3 linked regions of the Saccharomyces cerevisiae S288C genome follow. The main gene of each other region encodes a partner of the protein of the gene in region 2 in a complex. Each region holds a gene or a part of one and is shown on either strand. Other genes may lie near its edges.

Region 1 (3,756 bases), on a different chromosome or scaffold from region 2:
CTCTGTTTTTCTTCATTTCCATTTTTTTCTATTTACCCTTCTTCTTTTTATTTTACGCGTCTCGCGTTTTATATATTAATAGTAATAATATTTAATAGTGTATGTTTGAAATTTTTATATGTCTTTATTTCGCTAACGTAAAAATCCCTTCTTCTTTGTAGGGACGGGGGAGTGGTTAACATTGGGAGAAGCACTATTTATTGAAAGTTCTAGCTGTTTTTTCTTGTCCTCCAAAGCTTTTAATTGTTTAGTTAATTTTTCCTTCATTTCTTTATGTCTAGCAAACAATTCAGTTTCTGATTTTTGTAGTTTTTTCTCCTTTTCGGAAACTTTTTGTTGGAAAACTGTTTTCATTTCAATTTCTAGTTTGGCTAGTTTTGCCTCATGTAAAGTTTTTTCTTCTTGTTGTTTAGATATTGGATCGAACTCTTTGAAAACTGAATTATCTTGCTTAATACCAAGTTTTGCCAATTTAGAAGACCTGTAGTTTTCGTATAGTATCTTGCTTGTCCTTTCCTTTAATTCCTCCATGAATTGCTTGATCAATAAATTTTTCAAAAGGTTGAAATCAGAGTGGTTGTCATTGTCCACTTCGATCACCCCCCATGGATAGGAACGGCCTCTCACTTGATTACCACTGTAGTTCTCTACAATATCGTTGGAACCAATAACAGCATAAGGTAAACTACTAAATAGTCTTTCGGATAAATGGCTATTTTCTGCATCATCGTTGGAATAAATTGGAGGCTTGAACAGCTCGATATTAGATTGGATTAACTGGTTCATAATGGTCTTCTTGAAACTTAAGATCTCTTCATCAGTTAAGATGTCAGATTTAGCAATGACAGGAATCAAGTTACATTTTTCATATACAGATTGCATAAACTTCAGGTCCAGGGGCTTTAAGTAATGTCCTGTAGGTTCAATGAAATAAAGACATGCATGGATTCTTTTATCGTTTATTGAATGTCTGTTGATTTTGTTCTCCGCATCCAAGTATTGATCAAAACGAGAGTCAATCTCCTTAATGATCGGGTCCCATGATTTTTGATCATTATTTAAAAAATCACCAAATCCTTCAGTATCGATCACGTTCAAATTCAGTTTAACACCATTTTCTTCAATAACCGACTCATATGACTTAATTTTGACCTTGTGCCTTTGTTCTTGTGATTGGTTCTCGTGACCCTCGCCCTGACCCTCCTCTTCTTCCTGATCATTTGCAAGTTCCTCCTCGTAATCTTTCACTAAATTGGCCTCAATATCATCATTATTAAATAAAGTTTTCATTAAAGTTGTCTTACCAATACCATCAGGGCCGACACATAGGAGATTGAAACTGAATCCGTTCTTTATGGACCTTCTGTGCCATTGCTTGGGCAAATTAGCAAACCCTACATAACCATTGATTTGACGACGAATGAACTTAATCTCCGGTTGGTCAGGCAGAACTTGACCCTTTTCGCTCTGAGAGGAGGTGATGCCCATACCGAGGCCGGGTTCCACCTTTACATCGGATTCAGCTGCCTCAAATCTCTCGCTGTCGTCATTTTGCGTACCGTTCGTGTACTGCGAGTCCACTCCATCATGATCCTGCGACTCTTGTTTGATCTGAACATCATTGAATTGATCATGCTGACGCTCTTCTTGTTCCGGGTCCTGCTTAATGGACACTTGTTCCTCCTTTAAACTCATGGCAACGTATTATAGGCCGATGTAATCGTTCAGTTGTCGTGTGATCCTGGATTTGATATTTTCTTGATCTGCTTTCCTCGAGAGATTTTAACTTAATACACAAAACAACACAAAACGCAATTCCTAAAACCGAGACAAAAAATGGCAAAAAATGGGAAGCGAAAACACGCCCCCACCATATCATTACACACGTAGATCATAAAAGACGAAAATACTAAATTAGCCGCCCAGGTGGTTCCTTTTTACGAAAGGAAGGAAGGAGAAATCTAGAGGTGCTGCTATATATGTTTGCAAGGTGCGAGAATATTCTGTCACAATTATCAAGCAGCAAGTTATATAAAGTTGTTTCTCACAGCTTCTTGCACTCCCTTGCGGTGCCTTTCCTGCACCACTAGTGTAACTGCTGATGTCTTCCATTTGATGTCAGAATCGATTTCTTGTTACGCCACGAACAGTTAATATATAGAATTAAAGGAATGATCTTGTACAACTACAAGATAACAATAGATTAACAGCCAATATTACCGTCGCCGCTGCCCGCTTCGCGGAGAAACAGCGAAAAACAACGAAGATCGTTCTCGAAAAAGCCCAAAAGCTGGGTATAACGCAACAAAATAATCATAGATTTGACAATTGTGCTCCCAATCTTGCTTTGAAATTACCATTATAAATGAACTCTGAACAGCTGCTGCATAACTATGTTTCGGATTCGCTACTCACTACTCTGATAAGTTTTCAAGAGTTCAAGCAGCAACTACAGTCGTACACGAGCGACGAGCAACAACTGCAACATTGGTACGAATTGCTTCAGGCCAGGGATGCGCGAGTGACCTCTGAGTTAGAAGCACGAATCAAGCAGTTTTTCATAACGTTGCGCTCTAGATTACTGCGATTTCTGGAAAGCGAGCAACTATCACACTCCCTTAGCCTCGAGACACTGATCGACGCGCTGTACAAGATTAATGACCTGTTGCAACAGCGTTTGCAGATTCTGGATGATGCTATTCAGGAAAAGACCTCGGAACTAGCAGAATTTGAAAATATGGTTCGCTCACCGAGTGCAGGAGACAATGCCATTCCTGGCCTATTACAAATTATACAATCTTATATTAATCTATTAGAGGAAAACTAGCAGCAGACATCCCGGTCAACCTGCCCCACAGGATATTCCTCGCCGATCCATTGAAAGGCTTCGTATGTTGAGTTTAGCTGTTTGTTATCGTTCATGCAGTACCCGTCACCACTCGTTAATTTTAAGCTCCCGGTGCGCTGCATCTCTGTAAGGAAGACCACTCGTCTCACACGAGAATGGATCAGGGCCATGGAGCACATTGAGCACGGCTCATGGGTCAAATAGACGTCGTAATCAAGACACAGATAAGAGTTTGCGTCTTCGTCTACACCCTCCCTGAGTCTTTCGCCTACCGCACGGATGCCCACCATTACACTGTGGTCGATGGGTAGCGAGTTTTCGCAGTTTCTGCCATCTTCTGCCACCACTTTGTCCTTCTTTCTTGATGGGTCAACAAAGACGCTCACCATTGGAAACTGTTTTCCTGCCGTTGCCATCTTCACAGACAACGTCGACGCACGCGATAGCTCATTTCGTACTTCCTGCATGTCTATTTTATAGTCGTTCAATATTTGATCATTGGGGTTGCCGTTCCAAATCAACGGCCAGTACTTCACAGACCAGGCATTGTTCAGTTCCTTTGTGCTGGGCGCAAACTCAGGCACTTCGATATCATCACTCAGTTCATACTTTTTCGTTCCAACCCAAATACTCTTCAATTTATTGTTTATTTCACCTTCGTCGCAAATATACTCTTTCGAACACAACACCACTTCCAAGGTGGAGGTCTCGATGTCCTTGCGGATCCTTTTCAAATGTCTCAATGAAACAGGGTCATTTTTCTGAAAATCGTTTCGAATTAGCCTACTTTACTAGTTAGTTTACTTCCATGAATACAAAAGCAAAAATCATATACATACTCTATTACTTTCTTCGAGTCTCTTGGATCTATTCTTATACTCCATACATTGACTGCACTTATATATGTT
Region 2 (3,756 bases):
ACAACGAGGTTGAAGGAAATCAATCTCTCCACAGGTGGCAGAGATTCCGCATATTTAATAAACTTGGATAAAGCTGGGTATCTTTGCAGATGCGACCAGGTTGCTTGTGGCAATTCCACAGATGGTTTAGAAGAAGAAATAGATGATTCAGACATAATTACGCTACGGTTCTGGAGAGTGAGTGATGGTTAATGATTACCGATACATTCCGTTATCTTTCCTTTTATAACCCTTGCTGCTATATTATTAAATCCGAAAGAATACGATCATCCCCCACGGCGGAGAAAATCTAGGCTATTATTATCATTATTATTATTATTATTGTCGTCTTAGTTACATGCGCTTTAACATATATTTCAGCTTACACACTTACATGTATATACATATATATATCTATATATGTATGTATACATATGTATATAAATATATGAATACGGTTATGACCACTCTTGCGAAGTGCGTTGGGATTATGACTGCTTGCATTCAGGAGCCTGTTCCGGCCTGCCAGCAAAATCGTCTTGCTCTTCGGCAGATTCCCCGTCGTCATCCTCCAAGCCGTGATCATCATCTTCTTCTTCGTCTTCGTCCTCGTCCGCTTCTTCTTCGTCCTCCTCGAACTCGAATTCCAAGGCTGCGCCGGTAAACCAGTCCACGGCTCTAGGAATTAGCTTGTCCTTAAGTTGTTCCCCGATGGAGTAGTCTAAAGCTAGACGTTCCTCGAGGTCTTCCTCCAACTCCTCGTCTTGGTCTTCGTTTTGGATCTTGGGAGGGTCGAAGAAGTTGAAAAAGGATTCTATGGGAGTGATCTTCTCGATGGTCCTCACCTGCTTGGTGGTCTTGTTTCTCTGCTTGCGCATTTCTAGGTCCACAGTGACGTTGTGGGCGTTGTCCTTCCAACTGATCTCGCAGCCTTCTGCGTGGTCGTAGATAAAGTCCCCGGAGTAACCGAGCTCCTTCTGGTAGAAGTAGGTCTTGCACAGAATGTCGTTGGTGAAGAATGGGTTGGCGGAAGAATCAAATCTGAACAACAGCTTGAAACCGGGTCTACCATCCGTCAAGTATTCCAGACCAATATCTTGCAGGTACTCCAGAACTTCCGCATCGCGGTCAGTGATCGTGTCGCAAACGATGGGCAAGTTCTCTAATGCGGTTAGCCAGAATGAGGGAATTCCCTTCACCTGTTCCTCCTCGGAATCATTTTGGGCCTTCTCTTCTTCGTCCACCAACAACTCCGTCTCATTGAGTGACTCCACAATCTCTTGGCCCTTTGCGATCTGTTCCGGCTTGGGTTGCTCTTGTCCTGAAATGATCCTGGACCGCTGCTCCCAAATGGGCTTGTACTTCTGCAGAAACTTGTTCTCTAGCTCAAACATCTCCACCTGAAATTCCTTTTCAACTTCGAATAGCTCGCTTTGTAAAGTCTTCAAGCTCAGCAGCTTTTCCTTAACGTTCTTGGGAAGACCCCCCACATACCCGCTGTCCTGGCCCACCAGCGAGCCAAGTCTGTCCTGGATGGACTGTAACAACAGGGGTTGGTTAGCCAAGATGTCCTCCTCGTTGATGGTGCCGATCTTGTCATCCTGCTCCTGTGCCTGGGCCCTAACTGGGTTGCCGTTTTTCAAATAGCTCGGATTCAGAACCGATGCTGGGGTATTGTGAGGCGTAGGGGCGTTGTCGATTTGCATCGACGACTTGGGTTTCGTTCTGATAGGGTCTGACATGATCTTGCGCTTTGCTCTTGGTCCCACTGGGCTCACTAAATCCTCCTAATCTACCATCAAACTGCCATTTTTGATCCCAAACGCTGCTATTTAAAAGGAAAAATTTTCCCAATTACGCGGGTAATACAAAAAAGATATAGCCCATTGTTATAAAAATATGTATGTGTTCAATATAGTGGTATATAGGTGTTATTTGCGCTGAATGATGTACTTGTCAATGTCTGCGGGCTCATTTCCCACCAACTTGTTTTCCCAGTCGACCCAAAGCGCCTCCTTTGGATTCCAAAGTCCCCTCTGGACACACTTCTGCAGGTCCATCCCGAACGTCGGGTCTGTGTGCTTGTATTTGAGCACTGAATCCAGCTTTGGAATCTGCCTTTGCAACGAAACTGGGCCTTGCGGGCACGAAGTTCTCATGTATTGCAGCTGGTCCCACGTGGGAAAGCGGTTGGCGATTTCCACGTCGAATCGATGAGAGACGTCTCCCTTCAGCAACTGCAGGCATTTCTGCGACTTGATATTGGACGCGATGTCATTGGTAAACAACGAGATGGTACGTGGCTGTCTCTGCAATGTTTTCCAAAACGACATTTATTGCGTTTGCGTTTGCGATCTCCCGGTCTGTTATTTTCATTTGCACTTTTCTTAACGTTCTCTTTTGGTTTTATATGCCCCTTTCCAAGCTGGGTGGATACCCCGTCCATTGAGTGCCCGTGCCCAATCAAGCTAAAGCCAGACTAAAAAGAGGAAGAGTTCAAGAACCATCAATGCCTCCAGCACAATTTCACAACAGCTTGACACTTTGGCAACGGTTATATCAGAGCATAGCGACGGGATTAGAGAGATGCAAGACGACGGAAGAAAGAAGGGAGTGCCCGGCATGCGCTGAAAGCGCCCTGTAGTACAAGCGTACCGCCGTTGAATAGGCCATGGTACATCACACGATGATTGATAATTTGATGCAAGCTGCCATGCTCAGATGGTTGTTTCCCGTTTCTCTCTTTCACTTTTGATCTCCTGCGAAGAATAGGATGAGATGTGAATTTTCGTTTCTAATCCCCTCGGCCGTGCGGCTGAAAAAGAGAAATGATATTGGAATAACTAGGTTTCAGATGATGAGAAAAGAGGCTATTTTGTACTATTCACCGACGATAAGAGGCTGTAAGAACCACTCATGCCAACAGCTAAGAGGACGTCATCCAGGGCTTCGTTGGCACTGCCCTTCCAGTTACGGTTGGTGCACAAGAAATCATGGGGCCATCGGCTAAGAGACTTCATTTCCGGGTTCTTAAAATCATGCAGACCCATTGCTAAATACGTTTTCCCCAACTTCATCGTGGTGCACTATATCTACCTGATCACGCTGTCGATTATCGGGTCCATTCTGTTATATCCGTGCAAGAACACGGCGTTCATCGATGTGCTATTTCTGGCTGCTGGAGCGTCTACACAGGGCGGGCTGGCCACCAAGAGCACTAACGATTTCAACCTGTACCAGCAGATAGTGGTGTACGTCATTACATTGCTGTCCACGCCTATACTTATTCATGGGTTTTTGGCCTTTGTCAGGCTGTATTGGTTTGAAAGGTACTTCGACAACATTAGGGATATCTCCAAACAGAATTTTAAACTAAGAAGGACCATGACGTTGCAACAAAGGGAACTATCGGGCAGCAGTGGCAATGCCGCTCGAAGTAGGAGTTTCAAGGACAACCTGTTCCGTGGGAAGTTTGTTTCCAGAGAAGACCCACGACAATCCGCTTCAGATGTGCCGATGGACTCTCCTGACACGTCCGCATTGTCCTCAATCTCACCGTTGAATGTTTCCTCCTCTAAGGAGGAATCCAGTGACACGCAAAGCTCGCCTCCAAACTTCTCAAGTAAGCGCCAACCCTCAGACGTTGACCCAAGAGACATTTACAAATCGATAATGATGCTACAAAAACAACAAGAGAAGAGCAACGCAAACTCCACGGATTCTTTTTCGAGCGAGACCAATGGACCCGCTTTCATTGTGCAGGAACGTCATGAGAGA
Region 3 (3,293 bases), on a different chromosome or scaffold from region 2:
TACTGGTGTAGACGTGAAGTAGACATATGATAATCGAGCAGGGTGCTCAATTTGGTGTGGGACACGTTTGGGAAGGTTAAAAGAAGAGGTATATCCGGATTACATTTATTTTTGGCGTATTTTAATAATTTACTAAAAGCGCGAATAGCTTCCCATTAGCAACGCTCAGGGACTCTTTCTAATGTTTATAGTAATACTTTAATAAGATGAGTACCAATTGCTTCTCTATGAGGCACAATCCCTAACCAAACTTTTATTTAGAATTACCGGTAAACTCCGTTTTCTTCATAGATTAAATATTTGGCTAAGACAACAAAATGTTCTTTCATTTTACCAAACGAGAAGGTGATAGCTGTACGCCAGAAAAGAAGGTAAAAACTCTCGCCAATCCAGCAATACCTGTACCTCTAGTTTTCGATCGCATTATGTCATTATGTAAAACCAAGGAGAGAAGCAAGTTACGGTGTTTTCATATAGAATAATTTGAGAATTCTTAATAACATAAGATATATAATCACCACCATTCTTATGAGATTCAACGTTGAATGGCGTTGCTAGACATATGAGCTGAGGAACGACTATTCGCATTTTCTTTCAAGGCAATTAATTGTCTTGCTCTGAACCCTTCATAATGAATGTAGGAAGTTGTTTCGATTAAGTCTTGGAGATGAGTTCGAATCAAAAATTCCCTTAAATATACAAAATCACACTGGTTGATATCCTCAACATTAATAGCGCTCCAACGAGTTTTTCTTCCCCTGAAGGTTTCACCGTTTATTTCAATCTCATTCTCAGAACCAACCACTGCAAACGGAATGATAGATCTAACACTTCTGTTTAGTTCTAATTCCTCGTCAGTTAGTTCTTCCGAATCATAAGGATAAATCTTGAAATTGTATTTTTCGAATTCATTTTGAATAAGCTCCCTAAACTCCGTTCTTTCATCTAAAGTCAATGTATCCGACTTGCCAATAACTGGTATAACATTTGCTATTTCTGTCAATCTTTTCAAGGCTTCAACGTCAAGGCGGCTCAACTCCTTTCCATTTGGTTGCAGGAAATAAAGAATTGCATGAACTCTTGTATCAGTAATAAACCTTTCACGTTGGGCTGTCAATTCTTTACGTAAGTATTGAGAATGTTGTTCCTTAATGTACTTCACAATAGGCTCCCAAGCTTTAGAATTGTCAATAAAGTCACCAAATCCAGGTGTATCTATAACATTAATATTCAAGCGAACGCGGTCCTCCACAAGAGTATGAGTAGAAATTTTCATTTCAGTTGTTTTTGTAACAGGCAGGGCAGAAATATCATCACCAGTAGCAGAATCAATCAAATGTGAGGCAAATAACGTATTTATTAGAGTACTTTTACCCAATCCGGATTGGCCAACAACCATTATATTAAATTGAAAACCTTTCTTCAACAGACGATGTTCGATCTGATTCGTGATGGTATCAAAACCAACATAAGAAGCAGGCTGTACTGAGCTGAGAGGATCCATTAATATATTTATAGAGTGCTTGTAGTAACCGTGGGGCTTGGCCTTGTATTTTCTTGTCTTTGCCTGAAAAAAGTTAAGTATTACTGATACATGTTTACATATATTCTATTCAGCGATTCTGATCTATTTGTGGTCTCTCGAGGAAATCTCATCGTATCATACGATTATTTCCGCAAGCATTCAGAAAGCAAATCTTAATATAAGGCACAATGTTCCCAAATAATACCTTAACTTGGAGACAAAAACACCAGGGAATATCAGCAAACAAACTATGAATTCTTTGATTTTTGGTAAACAATTAGCATTTCACAAAATTGTGCCTACCACTGCAATTGGGTGGTTGGTACCGCTAGGAAATCCTTCACTGCAGATTCCAGGCCAAAAACAACTGGGATCTATCCACCGTTGGTTGAGAGAAAAGCTACAACAAGATCATAAGGACACTGAAGATAAAGATTTTTTCTCTAATAATGGTATTCTACTAGCAGTTCCTAAAAAAAAAGTATCACACCAAAAAAAAAGGCAAAAACTTTACGGTCCAGGTAAGAAGCAATTGAAGATGATTCACCATTTGAATAAGTGCCCATCATGCGGCCATTATAAGAGAGCCAATACACTGTGTATGTATTGTGTTGGACAAATAAGTCATATATGGAAAACGCATACCGCTAAAGAAGAAATTAAGCCGAGACAAGAGGAGGAACTTTCCGAACTAGACCAAAGAGTCCTATATCCTGGTAGAAGAGATACCAAATATACCAAGGATTTGAAAGATAAAGATAACTATTTGGAACGTCGCGTTCGGACTTTAAAAAAGGACTAGGCTCATCTTTCATCTAGTGGTTTCCTTTTTAAATAAACTTAAGCCTGTATATAGAAACTTAATTTCAAACTGTATATTTATTGTTTAAGACAGCATCAATGGTAGAATACAAGGAGCGGAAACAGAAAGAAAAGTCGAAATAGAATTTTTCGCTTTTGGCTTAACAAAATGAGGTCTTTGAAATCAAGAGTTTTGCTTGACAAAAAACAACTATATTTCAAAATATTAGGAAATGATATTATTAGTACAAGGACTTACAGAAATATACTTTTAATATAAAAAGGAAAAAATAAAATAAAAAGAGTTAATTCTTTATTAATTTTCCAACGTCCTACATTGATATATCTGCTGAGATAGAATTAATGTTAGTAAGAACTAAATATTAGACGCGAACTGTTGTTTCTTACATGACAGTACAGCAGGATAATAATCCTTTGTCCTCCTTCTTTTCTGCAGTTGTAGCTGCTGCAGGTTTAGTTTGTCTCTTAGCCGCATCAGAAGTAGTGGTCTTCTTTTCAGTGGAGGGCTTGGCTTCTTTTGCAGGGAAAAGTTTTTTGGCGGTTTCGTAGAATGTTTTACCTTGAATTTCAGCAATTCTCAATTCAAGTGGAGACGCAGTTCTTGAGCCGTCAGGTCCTGCAAGGGTACCAGCACCCCATGGAGAGCCACCGTGTACCTCTTCTATACTGGCTAACTCAGCAAATGAATTCTTATAACCCAGTGGTAAAAAGATAATTCCGTGATGAGCTAAATAAGACAAACAGGCTTTAACGGTACTTTCTTGACCACCTCCGTAACTGGAAGTACTAACGAATATCCCCGCAGCTTTGCCGTTCAAAGAGCCCTTGGCCCATAATCCACCGGTTTTATCCCAAAAGGCGGACCATTGAGCCGGCAAATTACCAAACCTAGTTGGAACACCGAACAAAAAGGCGTCATATTCGAGCAACGTTTTCTCAGTGGCAA

What was found.
Region 1: NAP1 (region 2) and CDC3 share a complex: the UniProt entries of both Saccharomyces cerevisiae proteins name them as parts of the GIN4 complex.
Region 3: NAP1 (region 2) and CDC10 share a complex: the UniProt entries of both Saccharomyces cerevisiae proteins name them as parts of the GIN4 complex.

What each region holds. Positions count from the first base shown.
Region 1 is NC_001144.5:762,443-766,198, forward strand, and holds CDC3 (septin CDC3), read right to left. Parts: upstream 1,696-3,756; coding exon 133-1,695; downstream 1-132. Other genes in the region: NKP2 (Nkp2p), read left to right, coding at 2,366-2,827; TAD3 (Tad3p), read right to left, coding at 2,824-3,631, 3,688-3,739. UniProt on the Saccharomyces cerevisiae protein: Septins are GTPases involved in cytokinesis that assemble early in the cell cycle as a patch at the incipient bud site and form a ring approximate 15 minutes before bud emergence, which transforms into an hour-glass shaped collar of cortical filaments that spans both sides of the mother-bud neck.
Region 2 is NC_001143.9:524,920-528,675, forward strand, and holds NAP1 (histone chaperone NAP1), read right to left. Parts: upstream 1,722-3,756; coding exon 468-1,721; downstream 1-467. Other genes in the region: PLN1 (Pln1p), read right to left, coding at 1-155; FMP46 (putative redox protein), read right to left, coding at 1,911-2,312; TRK2 (Trk2p), read left to right, coding at 2,896-3,756. UniProt on the Saccharomyces cerevisiae protein: Acidic protein, which assembles histones into an octamer (in vitro). Involved in the regulation of the localization and the function of the septins during mitosis. Involved in the function of B-type cyclins.
Region 3 is NC_001135.5:116,845-120,137, forward strand, and holds CDC10 (septin CDC10), read right to left. Parts: upstream 1,505-3,293; coding exon 536-1,504; downstream 1-535. Other genes in the region: mitochondrial 54S ribosomal protein bL32m MRPL32, read left to right, coding at 1,776-2,327; YCP4 (flavodoxin-like fold family protein), read right to left, coding at 2,731-3,293. UniProt on the Saccharomyces cerevisiae protein: Septins are GTPases involved in cytokinesis that assemble early in the cell cycle as a patch at the incipient bud site and form a ring approximate 15 minutes before bud emergence, which transforms into an hour-glass shaped collar of cortical filaments that spans both sides of the mother-bud neck.